Tamandua tetradactyla: one gene and its partner. The protein of the gene in region 1 purifies or fractionates together with the protein of each later gene. This does not show direct contact. Links are inferred from orthologs where the notes say so. Each region holds a gene or a part of one and is shown on either strand. Other genes may lie near its edges.

Region 1 (7,065 bases):
GCATAAGCAAGAGCAAAAATTTCAAAGAAATTAATAAAATATGCATACATGTTCATTCAAGGCTTTCTGCACCAATGGCCAGCATTCTTTCAAGTAAGCCTCCCTATATTTTGGGAACAAAGTTGCAAAACTGCTTTCCTCCAAGAGTCCTCTGGGATTATCCTCTTTGGAAAAGGCTGGTTCCTTCCAACCATCAGGAACAGTGAGGAGTTCTGATTCATCTAGAGAGGGGGAAAATTCACATATCACATTTTAAGGGTTATTTGAACAATTTTCAAAAGTTTCCCCAAACTTGGATTTCTTTCCCCTCCCTTTTTATATTATTCAACAAAATACATATCTCAGTCATTATCATCCACATAGTATTTAAAAGTATCTGTATACATTTCAGTCACCTAAAACTAAATTCCTTGTATCCGTATCATTTGGTATATGCCATAAATTATCTCCCACATCATTTACTAAAACTCCTGGACCTGGATTTTAAGAATGTCTTGAATCCAACAACTCTAATCCAGTACTACTCAAAAGTATGATCTATAGTCCTTTATCATCAGCATCAACTGGGAACTTAAAAGCCATGCAATTCTTGACCCTACCATAGATTACCAAATCAAAATCTCTAGGTAATCTGTGTTTTAACAATCTAGTCAAGAGCTTCGTATGTACAGGAAAGTTTAAGAGGCAGGGCTTTAACCTATGTTATCTACTTTAATTGAGTAAACATAATGTGCTTTCCGTCTCTTGTACACACATCCACTTTGCTATTTCTGGTTCAAATCACAGAAAATTAGTTTGTCTACACATATACCATTCACAACCCAGTACTCTAAAAAACGCAATATTCAAAAAAGCTGTAACTTAATTTAAGTAATTTATCTACCTAATTAAAGCATGTCAATTGGTTATGCATCAATAAGAAAAATATGCATAACCCACCCCCTAAAAACCTGGCAAAAGAAACAAGAACTACACAATAGAGAAAGCATAAATAGCCTAAAGTATATGAAACGATGCACAACTTTAATAAAAATCAAGAAAGGTCAAATTGAAATTTCAATCAAATGGGGTGCAAAGGTAGTTCAGTGGTAAAATTCTTGCCTGCCATGCAGGATATCCGGGATCAATTCTGGGCCCACGCACTGCCCCAAAAACAAACTAACAAGCAAAACAAACACAAATACAAATTCAGCAAATGGTGCTGCAATAACGGGATACTCACAGGGAAAAGTAATGAAACATGACCCTGCCATACAGCATACAAAAACAAAAGTAAACAAATACCATTTCATACTTACCAAAATGACAGAAATTCAAAATTCAGATAATATCAAGTTTTACTGAGGATGTGGAGTAATGGGAAGTCTCATCACTGCCAGTAAATTGTGTAAACTGTTGCAACCTCTTTGGAAAAGATTTAGCATTACCTGCAAATACCCTACACTCCAGAGATTCTACTCGCAGGTATACAACCTAGAGAGACTCTAGAATATATGTACCAGGAGACAGTTTTACACTGTATAAACAGCCGCACTGTTTATAATAACCATGTAAACAATCTAAATGGCCACCAATGATAGAATGAAGGGTATACCCACTCAAGAGAACAGGATACCATAAGTAAAATAACTAATTACAGGTATAGTCCTGGTTGAGCAGCAGAAACAAAGTTAAGCCTAAGAAGCAAGACGCAGGAGAAAGCATACAGTCTCCTTTCATTCAGAAACAATTTAAAAACAAAGAAAACCAATTTTTTTTAGTAGATTATGAAGTAAATTATGAAGACAAGCAAGAGAATGACCAGTACGACTCAAAGAATGGTTACTTCTAGTCCCGGAAAGGAAAAGAATGTGATCTGGGAGGTGCACACGGTGGGCTTTTTTAGGCTATGGTAGTAGTCTACCGTTCTACTTAAGGGAGTAGCTGCTGGTATCTCAACGTGTTCGTTTTACTGTTTCACAAATAAATGTACTGAACTCTCTGCCACGGATATTATACTTAGAGAAAAAACAAAAAGCAGCAACAACCGAACAAAGCTTTTACTATATCTCCAATATCCCTAGAATGAGAGTCCAAGGTCTTTAACCTATAAGCCTACCTGAGTAGGACCCGGGCTACTTCTCTAGCCACTCCCCCTGTAACTCATACAAATATATATATATATAACAAGACTACAAGCAGAAGAACAAATGAAAAGTGGGGCAGTCTTAAGAGTAGAAGTTCCGAGGTCTAATGTTTTAGCAATCTGATAAACGATTTAATGGAATGATAAATGTTCCAAATTTCTTCAGTGGTTGATAAAGCAGAGCTGAGAACACGCCAGACATCTCCTTCCCCATATCCTTGTCTGTCTCCTTCAATCACGATCGTTCATTCCCACACAGAAGGACCCACCCTTCATGCTGTCCACGACCTCCAGCCACCGTCGCGCTGTAAACTCCCGTAGTGCCCTCCGCAGTTCTTGTCTTGACCTTTTTACAGGAGAAAGAATTCACCACCTTCACTATGGCGGATAGCTAACAAAAGCAACGAGTTAGGTACACGTGGAGGCACCACACCGGCCATCTCAATCGTTTCTGTGGACCCAGCCAGTTCCCCAATCATCAGTATTCCAAGGTTCTCGATCCCACAGAACAGACCGAAGGCAACTATACAATGCTCACTCAGCAAAAGAAAAAAAAATCGCAGCTCAACGCCCACAGACTCCAAACTTCACCCTTACATACAATCTCACCTCGGTCCTCCGGCTTCAGCTTCTGGTTTCGAAATTCAGATCTCCCAGACGTTGTAGCTGACCCATTTACCGAGGAAGACGCCATCTTTAAATTGCTTCCTGTGACCCCGGAAGTTGAACTCCTCTTAAATCCTACCGGCTAAACTCCTGACTATTCAAAATCAAGTCCGTGAAACTCAGGTGAGGAGAAGATCTGCGCAGTCTCCGTGCGAGTGTTCGCTAGACCCCGCGCATTTCCACAAACAAGTCCGCTTCTGCAACTTGGCCAATGGAGAGCTGGAGACTTCGTTCCCAAGATGCACTGCGACAACGGAGTTTGACTGCATGCTGGGAATTGTAGTTTAGTACTGTGGACTAGTTAGCGTCAGTCTTAACTGGCAGCGCGAGGCTCCAGAGTTTGGCCACGGATTGAAAACAGTGTAGGACTCATTTCATTCATTCATCCTTTCATTTAATAAATATTTGTATGATTGCTGACTATGTACTGGGCCTTTGGAGGGGGTACAAAATATGTGCTCCTCGTCCTCAAGAAGGGACAGTGTTTTGCTAGAAACAGACTCTGAAAACCAAAGTATAGAAGTTCATTGAACTTAAGTAGCTTTAATGCACAACAGCAACAAAAGGTTACCGATTAAAAGGCAATTTTGGGCAGACAGTATATGTGGCTGCTAGGAACAAAAGGAGCGTATGGGAATGGAGAGGGGGAGCAAGAAAGAGTGAGCTACGCGAGTTGCCTGGCACAGGGTGTCCTTGGGCCATGTTTCATTAATTTTGCAACTTGGACAGGCAGGATGTCTTTGCAGCAGCGGAGCTATCCAGTGAAGATAAGCAAGTTTGTTGAGGTCAGCATGACTTGTTTCTTCTCTGAAGGGGCAGAGGTTTTAGGACAATGAAAGATTGTTGGTATGTCAACCTGACTCAGTTGTTCTGTTTCTTCTTTGTAGTTCCCTGGATAAAAAGAACTTTAAACATATCAAGTTGATTAGTGAAACTATTAACCATTCTATTTTCACAATGTGTAGCTACCATTTATTGTGTGACTACTTTATGATGCGCACTTTTTTTTTTACATTATTTTTAGTCTTTAAAACAAAAACAAAATTAGAAGAAACAAACCCTGTGTATTTTGTGGAAGGCAAGATTTCAAAATCGTTATTTCTGATATTTCTCTTTCTAAGACATGAATAGTAATTAAAACTGCACTCTTTTTTTGTGCATAGTTTTATTGAGATACATCCACACACCATACAATCCATCCAAAGTATAAAAATCAATGACTCACAGTATCATCACATCGCATTCATCATCACGATCAATTTTAGAACGTTTTCATTACTACAAAACAAAAACACCAAAACATCCAATACCCCTTATCCCCATCCCTTTTATTGACCCCTAGCATTGGTGTGATACTTTCATTATTGATGAAAGAATATTAAAATATTACTATTAACTGTAGTCCATAGTTTACAATAGATGCATTTTCTTCATATTCCACTGTTATTAAATCCTTGAAATATGATGTATATTTGTTATTGAACAATTTAAATGTTCATTAAGGAACATTTTCATACTTGTACTATTAATTACAGTCATTATCCACCACAAGGTTCACTGTGTTATACAGTCCCATGTTTTTCCTCTAGCTTTCCTTCTAGTGACATACACAACTCTAACCTTTCTCTTTCAGCCACAATCACATGCATAGTTTGATGCTGTTAATTACACTTAGCTTAAAATGTTACCACCTGGAAGAAGTGGATATCAATAGCCAAAAGAATGAAAGAGGACCCCTATCTTACACGCTACACAAAAATTAACTCAAAGTGGATCAAACACCTAAATATAAGAACCAGCACCATAAAACTTCTAGAAGAAAATGTAGGGAAATGCCCATCAACAGATGAGTAGGTCAACCAAGCGTGGTATATACATACATATGATGGAATATTATGCAGAAGTAAGACAAACTGACATCCTGAGGCACATGACAAAATGGATGAGCCTTGAGGACATAATGCTGAGCAAAATTAGCCAGACATGAAAGGACAGATACTCTATGATTCCACTTTTATGACCAGCATAAAGGAACATTGAAATTATCTAAAATTTAGACTGTTGATGGACTGTGGACTTTGGGACCACTACATGATGCCCAGTGAATGCAGGTGGCTTAGGATGCACTGACTGAGAAGTAGATTGGTGAACAATGGTGTATACATGTGAATGAAAGTTGTGCTGCTACAGAAAGGAACACTGTTGTGAGGCATGCAATGATGTGAATGAACATGTGGGACATTTGGTGAGACAAAATAAGCCAGAAACAAAAAAATAACAATGGTATGGTCACCTATATAAAATGCTTATGAGAAAACAGGGTCCTAGATTGTAAGCTTTTAGAGCAAACACATTAAGTCCAGAGTGGTGAATATTATTTCTGGATTTTGAGAGGCTGTTTTATATATATATAACCTGATTTTTAGAGATAAGAATGAAGCCAAACAGGTTGGGGTTAAAGTAATTCAGAACACAGGGATAAGGAAGACAGTATCTATATTTTAGAACCATACATACTCTTTTTTTTTTTTTTTTTTGGAAATGATCATTCAATTTTATTAGTCACATTCTTTGCTATTCCAAAGGATATTACAACAGTATAGAACTTCTTAATTAAATGTTATTATATTTGCCTAATGTATATAGGACATTTAGAATACTCAATAGAGATATAATTCTAATGAACTTGAAATATCAAAATTAAATATTTCACATTGTAGTTTCATCAAATTCTGATCACACTCCTTAAATCATTCAAATTCCAATGGCTTTTTTGTGTTCTGTGATTTAATGAGCCATTTTAAGATGTATATCCTAATTAAAGACTTCATACAACTCATCTGTGCACATACTACAAGTGTTCATTCACTAGTCAATTATTTACTACAATCTCAAATTTGTATCTGAAGATCTGCAATTTAAGGAAAGCAGTACCTTGCAGTGTATAATGTTAATGATGCATGAGAATGCTTATAGAGGGTTGAATTAATAAAATCCATTTCATATCAGCCCATTAAAAACTTCCTGGCTTTTTGGTTAGAATTAACAGACTAACCAATAGAAGAGAGCAAATCAGAATAAGAAAATGAAACATCTTGAAAAAATTGTTATACTTTTAAAATTATGAATCTTTTTGTAGTATTACCATATGTGCTCTACAATGTGATTTTTATTGATACCTTTTTCTCCAGTGTATCACAAGCTATTTTAATGTTATGTATTTACTATAACTTTATTGCACCATTTCAAACCTACAGGATACTTGCAAAATGTACTTTGTAAATTAAGCATATTTTTCTTAAGAAGACAAATGTATTTGCACATATAGAGCATACCACTTTCAAACACACACATACACACACCTCTGAATCAAAAATTCAAAGTTAATATTTTTTGTTTAGTTTTACTAATTCTTAGGATGGAAGAAAATTAGGATTTGTTGTTAACTTAATCATCTAATCCAACACTCATTTTATAAATGAATATATTTTAATCTATGGGAGTCAAATGATTAGTTCAACATACATATTAAACTACTGACTGATCCCATGTCAAAATTTCCATTAATTTTCCAGTCTATGCTTCTCTGCTTCCATTTCATTCTTCCCTACCCTCTTTTCATACTTTTTTACTCTTTACACAGTATAGGTATATTTGGATCTATGTACCTCAGATAAGAACATGTTCTTTAACTTAATCCATTGCTGTGGGCATGAACATATTGTCAGATTTTTTGATGAGGTTACTTCAGTTAAGGTGTGGCCCACCTCAATGAGGAGGTACCTTCATCCCAGTACTGGAGTCCTTTAAAAGCAGAATGAAATTCAGGGAGAGAAAAGTCATAGAGGGAGCAGCCAGAACCCGAAATCCAACAGAAACCAGAAGAGAAGGATGAGGCCGGGAGAGGCTGGCCACCATGTGATAGAGGAGTACAGGATGAAGTCCATATGAGTGAGGCATGATAATATTTGACTTTTTGTTTCTGACATTTCATTCAACATACAGTCCTTAAGGTTCATATACCTAGTTGCCTACCTCATAATGTCATTCTTTCTTGGGGCTGCTCAGTAGTCCATTGTATGTATACACCACAGTTTGGTTGCCCTTTCCTTCCTCAGTTGTTGTACCCTTAGGCTATCTCCATTACTTGTGGATCATGAACACTGCCACCATAAACCCTATTGTGCAAATGTCCATTCATGTCCCCACACTCAGTTCCTCCAAGTATATAATGAGCAATGGGACTTCAGAATAATATGACAACCCCACCCCTA
Region 2 (7,775 bases), on another chromosome or scaffold:
AGCTTGATATCCTGTGTACATAAAGAAACTGTACAACTCAAAGACAAAAGATCTAACAACCCAATTTTAAAATGGGCAGAGGATATGAACAGACACTTTTCTAAAGAGCAAGTACAGATGGCTATAAAGCACATGAAAAGATGCTCATCTTCATTAGCTATAATGGAAATGCAGATCAAGACAACAACGAGATACTACCTCACACCTATAAGAATGGCTGCTATTAAACAAACAGAAAACTACAAATGCTGGACAGGACGTGGAGAAATAGGAACACTTGTCACTGGTGGTGAGAATGTGCAACGGTGCAGTCACTGTGGGAGACAGTTGGGCGATTCCTCAGAAAACTAAATACTGAGTTGCCCTATGCCAGCAATATCAATACTTGGTATATATATACCTAGAAGAGTCGAGGGCAGTGACACGAGCAGACAAGTGCTCACTGATGTTCATAGTGGCATTATTCACGATTGCCAAGAGAGGGAAACAATCCAAGTGCCCATCCACAGACGAGTGTACAAACAAAATGTGGTATATACATACAATGGAATATTATGCAGCAGTAAGATGAAATGATGTCCTGAAGCACATGACAACGTGGATGAACCTCGAGGAAATAATGCTAAGTGAAATAAGTCAGTCACAAAAGACTGATACTGATGATTTCATTATTATGAATCTAGTAAAGGTAATCTCAGAATATAGTAGAACTAGACGTATACAAAAGCTCAAGGGGGGAAAGGGACCCAGTGAGGTTGAATCTAAATGCAAGGGAACCGAGAGAAGTGATGATAACTAATTAGCAGGTTTATAAGTGACATTGCCATAGTGTAGGTGAATATGATTGAAAGGCAATAAATAATGCCACGTATTCCAATGATTAAATTTACAATTATAAATAAATCCTCACATGAAGTATTTCAATAGTTCCATAGTGGACAAAAAATCAAGATTAGAGGGATAAAGGGGAGAAACTACAAATGCATGCTATGCCCAATAATTAACAGGAAGACATCAATAGTACCAGAGTAATACCAGGGCAACTCACTGGGGTGGGGAGGCGTGGGGACAAGAGGTAAGGGTTAGTTTTGATTCGACAGTTGGTGACGTTATGTTTGCCAGTTCTTTTTCATTATGGACCAATGACAACTGTTTAAAATTGAAAGTGCTGCTGATTACACAACCAAATGAAGATACTGTAAGATACGGTTTATTTATTTTGAACATTATCCATGATACCCAAAAGATGGCAAAGGCTCCACTGACTGAGGAAGCACAGTGGTGGATGGTGGGTGATACATCTGTCTATATGATGGAATTTGGCGCGGCTACAAAAAGGAGGGACATTGGGGCACACGGTGAGCTGAATAAACCTTGGGGACAACGTGCTTTGCAAAATAAACCAAACAAAAGAACAAATAAGCTGAAGTCTCTCTCAGAAAAAATTAAAAAGAAAAAAGAATTCCAAATTGGGGAATTCCCTCAGAAGTTCACAGTGACCAAGTCATCTATTTTATAGGACAAATTATGAAAACAATATGCAAAATATGACCTATTTCACAACATCCTCATTGTACCTATCAACCACAATCCTAAGGCTTAAACAGAAAGAACCAAAGGTGTAATTAAAACTCAATGAGCTGAATTCATGGAAATCTTCAATCTACCATGGCCAAAAGCTTTACCTATAGTTTTACTACATCTAAGATCCACTTCTTTTGGAAAACATAAGCTATCCCCATTTAAAATTATAACAGGAGACCTAAGAAAATAAATTCTGGAATATATGAGCCTTGCCTCATAAAAGGAAATATGCTAACCTGGTTGTCAAGAACTAACCAAAACCTTAAAGAAAAACGAAACCCTAGTCAAACTATCTTTTACAGCATGCTGAAAAAGATGTTCAAAACTGTAATCATCAGCCTGGTGACTTCACATATAGGAAAAGATACCTCCAGATGTCTCTTAAAGACGCACTCCAACCTTGCTGGATGGGGCCCTGTCAGGTACTTTAACTAACCCATGTGTAGCTTAAATTAGACGGCACTGATTGTTGGATTCATACTTCTCATTTACAGAAAACCTCCCAGCCCTGCCTGAAATCCATTCCTACTAGGGACCTAAAGCTTGAAATGACCAAGGATGAGAAGCTGATGGTATCTAATGCAGACAGCTATCCCAAGGCCTGGGACCAGGACTGTGTAATTAATACTTTATCAGTGATCTCAGACTTAAGTTACCCAGAAGTACAACACATCTGTTATGATCCGCTAGCCCAGGAACCAGGACCGGACCTCATGTTCATCAGATTGAACGAACTCGATGATGCTACTATACCCTCCTATTAGCCTAGTAGCTCTCTTCTTTGCATTTCTATTCCTCCCCTCTCCCCACCTTCTTTGTACCCCAGTCCATATCTGTCTCTCCCGCAATGAATCCTACCCCTTGAAACTTCTCATTCTCACCCTCTTCTTTCCTGTTCATTGCCATTCATCCTTTTATCCCAGCCATATTAAGTGCTGCTGACCTAGCGATCCTATCAAATTGCTGGGACTATGCTAACTTAGAGTCCACAGAAGGGCCTCAGTTATTAGCCACACTCACAGTCACTTATTTAACTGGCCAAATCTTAGATCTCGAGGAAATTAGGTATGTAACATATTTTAAACCCTGTAATCTGTTTTATTTTATAGTCGTTATGATGTCTCATTCACCATCTCATCTCTAACAACCACCTCCTGAGTTATGCTAATCAGTAAAAGCTTTGAGCGTAAAGCTTCCTTACTTATAAAACTTATTTCTGTAATGATAAGACTAAGCCTAGTTCTAACTAATGCCTAAGAGTCACCCCCTGACAACTTCCTTGTTGCGCAAATGTGCCCCACCCCCACCCCCCACTCATACACAAGCCAAACTGCAAACAAACTCACTACCTTCCTTCCACTTCGGGGGGACACGACTCCCAAGGATGAGCTTCCTCGGCGCTGAGGGATTAATACCAAATGTTGATTGGCGATGCTTTTAGAGAAAGATGCTGATCAAAAAGGAGAAATATTAAAAGAAATAAACCAAAATAGAGTTTCCATGGCTAAGGGATTTAAAATGGAGCCAAGAGATCATTCTAGAAGTTACTCTTATGCAGGTCTCAGCCAGAGGTCACAAACTACCAAAGTATGCAATGCCTCAAGCAACAGTGTTCCTCAAAACCCCAAGGACAACTGAACCATAAACTAAATCACAATATAAAAAACTCCATTAAGTATCACACCTGAAGGACAACCAGAGTACCCCAAATATCCACCAACCACAAACAACTTGTGTAACCTTTTTCTTAAAAAACCCTTGCCTAAAAATGTCAAGACAGACACAATTTGGGTTGCTACCTGAATCTGTGCTCCCCGAATTCCAATTCTAAGACCCTTAATAAATGCCATTGTTGTCTTGCAGCTTAGTTTGACATTTTTTAGACAAATGCATGCATTCCTCCTTTCCTGAAACTCTCAAGGGGTAAAGCCACCCTTATGAAAGTGCAACTGTCATTGTGAAGCAAGCAGAAGCACACGTATCAAGTAAACAGAACTATTAAAATTTAGGAAGATCTCTGCAACTGAAGTGTAGGCTGCAGCTAATTTGACAGGACGGTTGGAGAAGGAAAACCTTAAAAGGTAAGACAGAAAAGGCTGGGCACAGATTCCGAAGCACTAGGGAGATAAGCACTTGGTATTATGGGCAGTTCAGTCGCAACTCCCTAACCTGTAAAGCTTTCAAGTGAGAGACACTTAAGGAACGGCGTGCGCAGGTGCCGTTCTCCCAGCTGCTCGTTTACCATCAGAACGCCTCGGCCCCTGCAGCTTTCCCAATCGCGCCCAGGTGGAAGCGCACGCGGTGGCGGCGGCGGCGGCCCAGCGGCCTTCCCCGCCCGCCCGCCGGTGCGCACCGTCGGAGCCGCTCACCTTCGTCGCCTTCCTCTTCCCGAAGCCCCCAAGCACCAGGGCATGGGCTGGCGGCCCAGATGCCTCACCCGGGGGGCCTCCGCCTCGGGCCTCCGCCGCCACCGGTGCCTCCGTAGGACTCTCCTCTGGCGTCCCGTCACTATACGCTGCGCGACAGAGAAGGGGCCAGGCCCGAGGGTCAAGCCGTTCCGGACTCGGGCCTCCCAGGGGTCGGTCCTGCTCCAGAGGCGACCTGCCCCGCCGCCGGCCCGGTCTCACCTGCGTCGGCGTCCTCGGCGTCCGCTCTCTGCCGCTTCTTTCGCGGCGCGTCTGCGGTCCCCGTCCCCACGCTGCTCACTCGCCGCCGCCGCCGCCGCGGCCTCCGCCGCCGCTTCCCCGCCGCGGCCTCCGCTGCCTGCGCCGCCGCCTCGGGAGGCGGACTTTCCTGCCTCTGCTGCCGCTGCTGCCGTTCGCGGGCCCGACACTGCAGCCGCTCCAACAGCGCGCGGGCCCGGCCCACCGACTCTGCCGGCGCGGGCCACGCTGCCTCGGGCCCCACATACCGGGCGACGTGAAAGAGGGCCATGGCCGGCCGGGTGCCCGGGACTCCGCACCGAACCTGACGTCACGTGCGCGCCGGGCGGCTTCTGTGGCGGCGGCGACCGGGAGCCGGCAGAGGCACACGGCGGTGACGTCACGCGCGCGCCGGCGGGGAGCCGACAGAGGCACACGGCGTTGACGTCACGCGCGCGCCGGCGGGGAGCCGGCAGAGGCACACGGCGGTGACGTCACGCGCGCGCCGGCGGCGAGGCTGTCGGGACGGTGACGTCTCGCGTGCGGCGTGGTCCCGGAGACTCCTCTTGGGTTGGCGGCGGCGGCATGGAGCGGGATCCCGGCACCGGGTCCGTGGGCCGGGCTCTGGGCCGCCTGCTGGAGGCGGTGCTGGCGAGCCGCGGCGAGGCCAACGCGGTGTTCGACATCTTGGCCGCGCTGCAGGTGCGTCGGGTTGGAGGCGGGCGCGGCGGGCGGGCGACCCGGACGGCCAGGAGTCGTGGGGTCTGGCGGCTCCGGTGTCTGGGCCCGCGATCGGGACGCATGCACTCCTGTGCGGGGTCCACATTGGGGCTGGGGCTGCGGGGGTTCTGAGGCCTGGACTGGGCGGGGTGCCAGAGTGGGGGACCCCTCGGGTTCCCGCGAGCGGTTGCGGCGTCAGGTTCCGGGCAAGGTCGGGTAGGGGGCAGTTCTAAAGTGCGGCTTGGGGATCAGAGAATCCCCCGGAGATTTGAGAGGCTGGGCTGTGGGATGTGTCCGGGAAGCTTGGGAGGATGGGCCCGATGTGAGTGGCGGCTCAGTGGGGCCGGGGTAGGGTCTAGCCAGGCGCCTTGTGACTGTGTCTCCCTGTAGTCCAAGGACCAGGAGGACGTCCAGGAAGCAGTGCGCACGTGCAGCCGTCTCTTCGGGGCCTTGCTGGAGCGGGGAGAGCTGTTTGTGGGCAGGCTGCCCTCTGAGGAGCTGGTCATGGCAGGTACCCCAGGCACTCTCGGGGGTAGGGGGTGACTTTGTCCATGAGGGGTGAGTGCCCCAAATTCCCTTTGTAGGGCCAGCAGGCTTGTGGGAAGGGGCTGGTTCTGTCATCCTCCGGTGGGGGGGGGGGGGGGGGGTGTAACACAGATACTTCCATAGCCAGGTTTGAGTATTGAAAACGTTTGCCTTATTCCTTGCGTTTTGTACACTCGTGTGATTTGAGGCTGTGTAACACTGACGTTCCGATCCTTGAAAATCTAGGTTTGGGGGTAAAAGGAAGGGATGAGATACCGTGCCTTTGGGGGCTTGCCTGGGTACAGTGCCAGGGCAGGAGCTGCTCTCCCTGTTTGCAGGGCTGAGGCAGCCTCTGGGGAGAGTCAGGCCCAGTCAGCCTAGTGCCAAAGGTCTAGCCTGTCTCCAGGTTTGGGGGCCCTGCTGACTTGTTTTACTGATCCGGCTGATCCTGTAGATGGCACCAGCTACATTGGGGGTGCCAGATGAAGGGTGGTTTGGGCCTGGGCTGGGCCCAGCCTGGCACATGTGGCCATAGTATGGCTGACCACACTGCCTCATCTGCAGGGTCTCAGGGAGCCACACGCAAGTACAAGATGTGGATGAGGCACCGCTATCACAGCTGCTGCAACCGCCTGGGGGAGCTCCTGGCCCACCCCTCCTTTCAGGTCAAGGTGAGTCTTGGATCTTTGGGCCCATCCTGCATCCCACCCCCACACCGAAGCAGAGGCTTGGAACCCTGCAGAGGCCACAGAGGTGACACAACTTGCTCATGAACACATGACTGGTGGAGTAAGGGTTTGCATCCATCTTCTCTCACTCACGCCCTGGCCCAGTCATGGGGGCTCCGTGGCTGGACCGGCTGTTTGGGGCCTGGTCTGTGGGTGGGAGGGGGCTCCCTGGCTGACAGGCACTCCTTCCTCCCAGGAGCTCGCCCTTGGAACGCTCATGAAATTTGTGCAGCTGGAAGGAAAGCACCCCTTGGAGAAACCCAAGTGGGAGGGCCAGTACCTGTTCCCCCGAGAGGTCTTCAAGGTGAGGGGCTGGGCAGGAGCAAGCCACAAGCTGCTCGGGTCAGTCCCTGGCTGGCCTTGAACCGAGCAAATGGTTGTTGGATGGGATGGTTCTGCCTTGGCCAGGACCCCTATGTGGGGTCTCCTCAGGCAGTATCTTAGTGGTGAGGTGGGATTTTCCTGCCCAGGGCTCTGACCGCGCTCCCAAATTGTCCTCTGAGCCCTCGCCCTGTTCTGCTCCCTGGGCTGGGGCCCATGCACGGTGGGGAGAGTGCTCACCTGCTGTGCCCTGTACCCAGCTGGTGGTGGAAGGCCTGCTCCCCCCCGGGGAGGACAGTGCCCTGCTGCTCTCCCAGTTCCGGGAGTTCCTGGAATACGACGACATACGCTACCACACAATGCAGGCGGCTGTGGACACCATGGCCAGGGTCGCTGACAGGCACCCCGAGGTCAGTGGGCTGAGTTTGATCTCCCGGTGTGGGGAATGGGGGGGTAAACGAGGAGGGGTGCAGCCTCCCAGTGCTCAGGCCAGTCGTCCCCTGCAGGTGCCCCTCCCTTTCTGGAACAATGCCTTTGCACTGCTGTCTGCCGTGAGCCTGCCTCTCCAGGAGAGCCGCACCTGCAGTTTCTACGTGAAGCACGTAGGTAAGTGTCCAGGCAGTGCAGGGAGCCTGGCCTGGGCCTAACCCTGCAGGAGAGGCTGGGGACCACTACCACACCCCGTCAGCCCTGCTGGGGCCCAAGTGGTGATCCCCTCCCACCCTCCATGCAGGCAGTAATCCTTCTCACCCCCTTTCACGCAGAGCCCTCGGACAAGTGGAAAGTGACCCATCTGAAGGTGAGCAGTTCTGGAGGGGCCAGCAGCCTCTGCCTGCCTGGACAAGATCTCCAGCCCAGGCTGAGTCATGCTGGCTTGCAGGAGGACTGCCACCTCCTGCCCCTGCACAGAAAACTCCCAGGCAGGGGCCACGGTTGGAGTTACCAGCAGGGCCCCCAGGAAGATGTGGGGGGGGCCAATGGCAGTCACCTGCGGTCCTGGGCATCTGCAGGAGTGGCCCCGAGGGAACTGCTTCCCTCACGGCTGTAAACCCACTGTGCCACCTCACCTGCTGCAGCCCCTGTAGGGTGGGGTCTCCTTGACTTCCTGAGGTAGGGAGTGGGGCCTAGACTTCCAAAGTCAAATGTGGAATTCTTCCAGTTCAAAGGGCCCGAGAAGCTCCTCCCTAAGCCTGGGAAGGAAGGGGAGGGGTACCAGGTGCAGTGGAAGGGGTGCTGCTGCTGTCCCCCCACTGGG

What was found. The genes of interacting proteins can lie anywhere in the genome.
Region 2: the proteins of KRR1 (region 1) and NOC4L purify together in Homo sapiens (co-immunoprecipitation; 3 studies listed by BioGRID and IntAct, with this or other methods). This does not show direct contact. The link is inferred for Tamandua tetradactyla from reciprocal best matches to the Homo sapiens genes KRR1 and NOC4L.

The regions. Positions count from the first base shown.
Region 1 is NC_135333.1:144,335,042-144,342,106, forward strand, and holds the start of KRR1 (KRR1 small subunit processome component homolog), read right to left. Parts: upstream 3,043-7,065; 5' UTR 2,820-3,042; coding exon 2,735-2,819; intron 2,472-2,734; exon of another isoform or gene 2,402-2,471; coding exon of another isoform or gene 2,395-2,401; intron 222-2,394; coding exon 49-221; intron 1-48. UniProt on the Homo sapiens protein: Part of the small subunit (SSU) processome, first precursor of the small eukaryotic ribosomal subunit.
Region 2 is NC_135331.1:1,481,467-1,489,241, reverse strand, and holds the start of NOC4L (nucleolar complex protein 4 homolog), read left to right. Parts: upstream 1-4,741; 5' UTR 4,742-4,811; coding exon 4,812-4,928; intron 4,929-5,336; coding exon 5,337-5,457; intron 5,458-6,035; coding exon 6,036-6,142; intron 6,143-6,395; coding exon 6,396-6,503; intron 6,504-6,780; coding exon 6,781-6,930; intron 6,931-7,026; coding exon 7,027-7,126; intron 7,127-7,284; coding exon 7,285-7,319; intron 7,320-7,775. Other genes in the region: ATP-dependent RNA helicase DDX51, read right to left, coding at 3,954-4,099, 4,212-4,518.